Linked DNA regions of Callithrix jacchus. The main gene of each other region encodes a partner of the protein of the gene in region 2 in a complex. Links are inferred from orthologs where the notes say so. Each region holds a gene or a part of one and is shown on either strand. Other genes may lie near its edges. The genes, in order: DYDC1 and NME5.

Region 1 (2,919 bases), on a different chromosome or scaffold from region 2:
TCATTAGGACATTCATTTGGTTCCAGGGTTTGCTACTGAGAACCAAAATGGTGCCCCCCACACCAAGTTTAAAGATTATGTATTTCACAAAATAATTTTAAAAAATATTTTGAAGAGGTTTTGAGGTCACAGCTACAAATAGAGAGATATAGATAGACCAGTGACACACTTCACAAAAGGGCAGAATGCCAATTAGGAATGTAATTGGCCACCAGGGAACTGGTTTTCTTTCTCTGAAGCAAAAGGACCATTTGCCAACCAATCCTAGCCTAGCCTTGTTTTCCCTAGGCTTTATTACCTAAGTGAAAAAACAAAAAAACGAAAAAGAGTTTTTGAAAAGCAGGCTGATACTGACATCAGAAAACATTGGCTCATCAAGTTCTTCCACTCTGCTCAAGTTAGGTGCTCCAAAACGACCACTGGTTTCAGCTAGTGTTTTGCCTGAGTCTAGTGTTGCTTCCTACAATCATAAAATTCATGTTTACATTTAAATGATTTCAAAATTAATACATTACTTTTCTTTCAATTATGATTTTAAAACTTCTGATTATAACATCAAAATTCAACATTATTAATTAATGGAATTAACCAATTTCTGTTAATGGCAAGAGAATTTTGGTAATAACTGATAAAACTTATTTTAAAAATACCGGCAGAAATTTAAAATAATTATAAGTAATTATGTGGTCAGTAGTTTCAATATCTCAGGATAGATAGTTTTTAAAAACAGATAGTTTTTAAACTGCAAACACAAACTGAATGTCCAATTTTTACCCACAGTGACATTTTGCTTCAAAGCACATTATTTGTGACTTGCTATTACTGGAAAATATATATGGCCTCTCAGTTTTATACACTTGCTAAAAATTTAGCTACTTGTACATCGAAATTAAGCTTTACATTCTAGGATACTCAATTCAATTCACATAACATAGAGTGACTTTTTCTTCTCACCTCCGAACGTAGAGTATCTTCACTCCTAACTAAATTTTCTATATTCATTCTCATCTCCTATAATATATAAAAATTATGAAAATACTTTGAATATACTTAATTTTGATTTCATGTTTAATTTTTGGCATTTTTATTTTTACACAATGTTTTTAATCAATTTAAAGCAAAAACGCTGTCACTCTGAAAGAGACTGATCTGATTACGCATTACAAAACTGCAGATCACGATCTTATTAAATACTCTATACCAACAGAAGGCCACTATGTTTTATACATAATTAAATAAAACTTTTTAGAAAATGAAATGGACTGAAACATTCAAACTGAAGTCAAATTATCTACCAATATGGAAAGTGACAAAATAAAAATACTAATAAAATCTTAGAACAAGAGATCTTAAAGAGAAATTAACTTAAGTAGAGTTTTGCACACAATGAGAAAGAAGTAAACATTCTAAAGGAATTATCTGGCCCAATGCACAAGTCCTCCCACAGCAGTTAAGTAATGCCCTCTTTAATAAACAGCACTGCAGTGGGAATGTACTGCCCAACATGGGAGGCCTCTTTCTGAATGTGAAAACATTCTTCTAGCCTGCCAAACCTTGCTATGGCACCCATCTTTTCATTCTCAAGCAGCAGGGTGGCCTAACTGCCCCTGAGTTGATTCATTTTGGCTGCTAGAAGATGAGTGATTTCTTTATGGTTACCCTAATGATAGGGACATAAATGGCACTATTTTCCCAAGATCACTCCATTTTCCTGGTAACTTCTTTTTTTTTTTTTTTTTTTTTGAGACAGAGTTTCACTCTAGTTACCCAGGCTGGAGTGCAATGGTGCGATCTCGGCTCACTGCAACCTCCGCCTCCTGGGTTCAGGCAATTCTCCTGCCTCAGCCTCCTGAGTAGCTGGGATTACAGGCACACGCCACCATGCCCAGCTAATTTTTTGTATTTTTAGTAGAGACAGGGTTTCACCATGTTGACCAGGATGGTCTCGATCTCTTGACCTCATGATCCACCCGCCATGGCCTCCCAAAGTGCTGGGATTACAGGCTTGAGCCACCACGGCCGGCCCTTTCCTGGTAACTTCTTATCCAGCATCCACAAGGCTATACTAGGGACATTCATATTCTTATAGGACCATGTTCCCCTGCCACAGGGATGGATATCTGACACAAATTAAGCCAGTCAGAATCCTTCTCCAAGATTCTTTTCTTAATTGAAACTAAAAGAAGGAATCCATTCCTCTTAGATGGTTAGAAGCCACAACATTCTAAGACTCAGAAGCCATTAAGGGCCATATTCCCCACCCATGTGCAGCACAGCAGCCCATAGAGAAAGAATGAAACTAACCAGGGAATAGCAGAAGTGAGAGCCCTGGTAGCATCTGATTCTCTTGCTCCCTAAGTCTGAAAGGCCCAGTGACATCAGAGTCCTTCACAGTTTAGGTGCTAAACCCTTAAACCAAGAATCCTTCCAGCAAATTTCCCTGTGCACATGACAGTTTACATTGCGAGTCTGCAGCCATAAGGCCAGGGGAAAGACATGAATGGATTCATTTCTGAGCAATGGGCAAGGGAACAGTACTTTGCAGGGGAGTACCTATACTATGGTGAGAGATGATAAGCCAGTAGGAATATGAATTATTAAAGTTATTGTGGCTCTGGTCACGCAAGCTGACAATGCCTGGAGATAGTAAAATAACATGAGTGTGGCCCTCTGGAGCCACGAAACAGAGACCAATCCTTACTATAGACTTTCAAGCACCTTAATGTAGCTATCAGGTTACTTTGATTAAAAAATACTTTAAATTCCTTTATTTTGATCACTGTCTTCTTGATATGTTACTGCATTTTCTCTTTCAGTTTAGATCTGTGAATCTTTTTCAAAAATTCTTAAAATTTTTAGCAGTATATAACAGTTGTATATGTTTATGATGTATATATGATATTTTGATACAAGCAAACA
Region 2 (4,362 bases):
GCGTTCTCAGAGTTTATTTTTAATTTAATTAATTATTTTTTTTGAGACAGAGTCTCGCCCTGTCACCCAGGCTGGGGTGCAATGGCATGAACTTGGGTCACTGCAACCTCTGCTTCCCAGGTTCAAGCCATTCACCTGCCTGAGCCTCCTGAGTAGCTGGAATTACCAGGCCTGGCTGATTTTTTGCCTCTTTAGTACAGACAGAGTTTCACCATGTTGGCCAGGGTGGTCTTGAACTCCTAACCTGGTGATCTGCTCGCCTCGGCCTCCCAAAGTGCTGGGATTACAGATGTGGGCCACTGTGCCCGGCCTCTCAGAGTTTATTTTTAAAGGTGATTAAGGCCCTGAAGGATTGATAATCTGCCTGCTGGTTTGGAAAACCCTGAGCCTCAGTAAGTCCAGCTTTGATAGTGAAGTAGTCTAGGAATGCAGGCAGCAGTGAAGAGCTCTCAAGACAGCTGAGGACAGATAAGTAATGGGAATTCCTGCTTCCAGAGCCTTAAGTCAATGGGCTAAACTCCAAAGAGGCCAGAGTCACTGTGTAGTTTTTGGTTGCTTTATCTGTTGATATTAATATATGCTCACACTTTCCCATCTCTAGGGAGTAAGATACAGTAGCTAGAATACATTTGTGGGTTTCTTTTCTAGGTAGCATCATACTTTAAAGAAAAAAAGTATAGTTGAGTCTATTTGCCAAAGAAATAAACTTGCAATCCTTTAGCATGTAAGTTTCATAATAGCTTGCTATGTGTTCCTTAACCCTTTAGGTGCTGAATGTTTGGTTAGACAAAAGACAAGGCTCAAGTAGTCTGGAAGGAGAACCAGCCAACCCAGTGGATGATGGAAAACCTATTTTGTAACGTGGAGCTTCTAGCCTGACTTTTCTAGAGTTTGAAACCTCTCCCTGAACTCTGACCTAGAGAGGATCCCAGTACTTCTTTGCCATGTCTCTGTTGTCTTTTCCAATAAGAATATCCCTACCTCACTCAATGATACATGTGGACATAATATAAGGAAAAACAGGGGAAGCTGAGATTTGGGTTTAATGCCATAAATGTTGCATACATCTTTGTTCCACGGGCTTGATTTAAAGACAATTAGATTAGATCTTTTACTAAGCCTTTTACTCTAATAAATAAATGTCTTTTCACAAACAGAATATTGCTTTTTAATGACTAGGTAAGCTTGGCATAGAGGGGACAGCATCATCCGGTCAAATGAAGGTATCTGACACGGGTCTTACATACACTGCCTGGAAAGGAATCTGGGAGGTGGGGTGGTCTTATCATTTATAAAGTAGGGATAATTGAAGAACAGGATGAAATAACATAAGTTGTGAGTAAAATGTCAGAAAATATCTAGTGCCCTAAGATTCACAAGGAGAATAAAGATGACTACCTGGCTCGCTTTGGTTAAAACAACTTGCCAGAGGCTGCAAGGAGGTTCCTTGCTGGGATTGGCCCTCTGCAGCCACCGTCCCCACGCTGGGGCTTCAGGTCTCCTAGCAACAAATTGAACTCACCAGGGCGGCCGCTGAGGTGAGTGCTCAGAGAGGGTCAAATTCAGAATTTTCAGGTGCAACCCGGAAAGTCCCAGAGGACCCAGAGGCCCTGCTTTCCAATTAGGCCTGACCCTATGCACAGAGAGGTCCCTGCGGGACAGGGTTGCTTCACAGAGGCAGCCGGAAGAGGCCGCTCACCCGCCGCTGTATTGGCGTGTGATGTTGCCACCAGCCCGCCGCCCCCTTCGAGCCCCCTCCCACCTTCTGCTGCCTGGGAATGCCGCTGGTTCCGGGGCTTCGGGTCGACCCTTGGCCTCTGGTCATGTGAGCCCAGTAGTCCTTCCCGCCTCGGTGACAGCGTGTACGAAAAGCCGGGGCTCGATATGGACATAGTAGAAATCCTATTATTGAGACCCTGCATATAGAAAAACACGGCAGTTTTTTAACCTGCGTTAGTTAATAAAATCAAGTACCTAATATTGCTATTCTTAATCACAATTACATTGAATTTGGGATTGGGAGGGAAATTATGTCATTGCAGTTGACACCTGTTAAGAAACTCTCAATTTGTGTCCTGAAAAGCCATAATGGAGATATCAATGCCTCCACCTCAGATATATGTAGAAAAAACTCTGGCCGTTATCAAACCAGATATTGTTGACAAAGAGGAGGAGATACGAGATATTATTCTCAGATCTGGATTCACCATTGTTCAGGTAACTTCTGGGCATGATGATTCATGCTTTTTTCCTCTCTGCCCTTTAAAAAAAAATGCTTATGTAAATGTACCTACCCATTTAAACCGTTAATGTTCAGCATTACCTTTAAGTTTATTCTTTTAAGTATAAAAGTTTTATGTGATAGTTTTTAAAAGGATATAAAATGAGAAATAAAATTAACTTTTCCCTCACCTGTCCTCTCCCATTTCAAGTCCCAGGCTCCAGAGAGAGGCAACGCTTAACACTTTCTGTTCTTCCAGGAGTTTTCTATGCATTTATAAACGTTTTCCCCCCATAAAACAGAGCAGCCCTTTTCCCTTGACCCCCTTTACAGAGTCCCTCAGATAGGATTCCAAATCATTACATCTGAATTGATCTCACTCTTCCTAACTTCTGTGTAATATTTCCTTGTGTATTAGAACTACAGTTTATTTACTTGATCCTCTATTGATGGACTTTTAGACTATTAGTATTTTTTCAGTTACAACAAACATTTAATGTTTTAAGCCTTATATTTGTTCTGCAATTAGTAAATATTGTCATTCTAGGGATTTGAAAATGAATATAAATAGCATTGTTAAGGATTATCAAATAAAATTGAATATTTTTAATCTTCTTTTATAGTATTCTAATTTGAATTTCCAATTTTTTATTTTTTCACATTTATGCAGTGTCATATTGCTTATTTAGTTAGTTTTTTTTTGAGACAGAATCTCACTCTGTCACCCAGGCTGGAGTACGGTGGCCTGATCTCGGCTCACTGCAACCTCCACCTCCCGGGTTTTAGCGATTCTCCTGCCTCAGCCTCCTGAGTAGCTAGAATTACAGGCTTGTGCCACCATACCCGGCTGATTTTTGTATTTTTAGTAGACAAAATACTACTTTTGTATTTTGGGGTTTCACAATCTTGGTCAGGATGATATCAAACTCCTGACCTTGTGATCCACCGGCCTCAGCCTCCCAAAGTGCTGGGATTAGAGGCGTGAGCTACCTTGCCCAGCCTTTAGTCAGTATTTTTAAAAATAAAGAGAAAACGGCCAAGCACAGTTGCTCATGCCTATAGTCCCAGCACTTTAGGTGGCAGAGGTGGATGGATCATAAGATCAGGAGTTTAAGACTAGACCAGCCAATATGGTGAAATGCCATCTCTGCTAAAAATACAAAAATTATCTGGGCGTGGTGGCATGTGTCTATAGTCCCAGCTACTCTGGAAGCTGAGGCAAGAGAATCGCTTGAACCCAGGAAGTGGAGGTTGCAGTGAGCTGAGATGGTACCACTGCACCCCAGCCTGGGCAACAGAGGGAGACTCGGTCTCAAAAATAATAATAATAATAGGCCAGGCGCCATGGCTCACACCTGTAATCCCAACACTTTGGGAGGTCGAGGTGGGTGGATCACAAGGTCAAGAGATCTAGACCATCCTGGTCAACATTGTGAAACCCCGTCTCTACTAAAAAACACAAAAAAATTAGCTGGGCCTGGTGGCACGTGCCTGTAATCCCAGCTACTCAGGAGGCTGAGGCAGAAGAATTGCTTAAACCCAGGAGGCAGAGGTTGCCATGAGCCGAGATTGCGCCATTCCACTCCAGCCTGGGTAACAAGAGCGAAACTCCATCTCAAAAATAATAATAATAATAATAATAATAAATGAAATGAATAGAAAATATCAGTATTCAGAAAAGATATGGGATTTCAGTTGAGCTTCAAAGGGCAGGTGGAGGCTGAGGGAAGGGATGGTACGAGAAAGTGTTAGGAAATATTTAATGTAATTAAAGACTCAGGTAAAGAACTTTATAGCAAACGTTAGGAAAACTGGTAGCCACTGAAAAAGTTGGATCAAGTATTGTATACAAGGAAAGACTCCAAATGGACCTGAGATCTAGAAGCCATGAAAGAAAAGACTAGTAAGATTATATAAACAAAAAATTTCTTTACAGCAAAATAAATACCATAAGCAAAGTCAAATCATAACAAACTTTGAAAAAAGATTTGCAACTCATATCAGACAAAGGGCTAGTCCTCCTAATATATAAAGAGCTCCTAGAAAAAGATAAAAATAAATCAGTAGAAAAATGGGCAGAAGAGATGGATGGTCACAGAAAGAGAAAAACATTTTTTAAATATATGGAAAGATTCTCAATT

What was found.
Region 1: NME5 (region 2) and DYDC1 share a complex: the UniProt entries of both Homo sapiens proteins name them as parts of the axonemal radial spoke complex. The link is inferred for Callithrix jacchus from reciprocal best matches to the Homo sapiens genes NME5 and DYDC1.

Annotation. Positions count from the first base shown.
Region 1 is NC_133513.1:50,212,947-50,215,865, reverse strand, and holds part of DYDC1 (DPY30 domain-containing protein 1), read right to left. Parts: intron 1,012-2,919; coding exon 955-1,011; intron 461-954; coding exon 356-460; intron 1-355. UniProt on the Homo sapiens protein: Functions as part of axonemal radial spoke complexes that play an important part in the motility of sperm and cilia. Plays a crucial role during acrosome biogenesis.
Region 2 is NC_133503.1:36,544,922-36,549,283, reverse strand, and holds the start of NME5 (nucleoside diphosphate kinase homolog 5), read left to right. Parts: upstream 1-1,494; 5' UTR 1,495-1,538; intron 1,539-1,762; exon of another isoform or gene 1,763-1,812; intron 1,813-1,978; exon of another isoform or gene 1,979-2,042; 5' UTR 2,043-2,088; coding exon 2,089-2,217; intron 2,218-4,362. Other genes in the region: BRD8 (bromodomain-containing protein 8), read left to right, coding at 768-860. UniProt on the Homo sapiens protein: Functions as part of axonemal radial spoke complexes that play an important part in the motility of sperm and cilia. Does not seem to have nucleoside diphosphate kinase (NDPK) activity.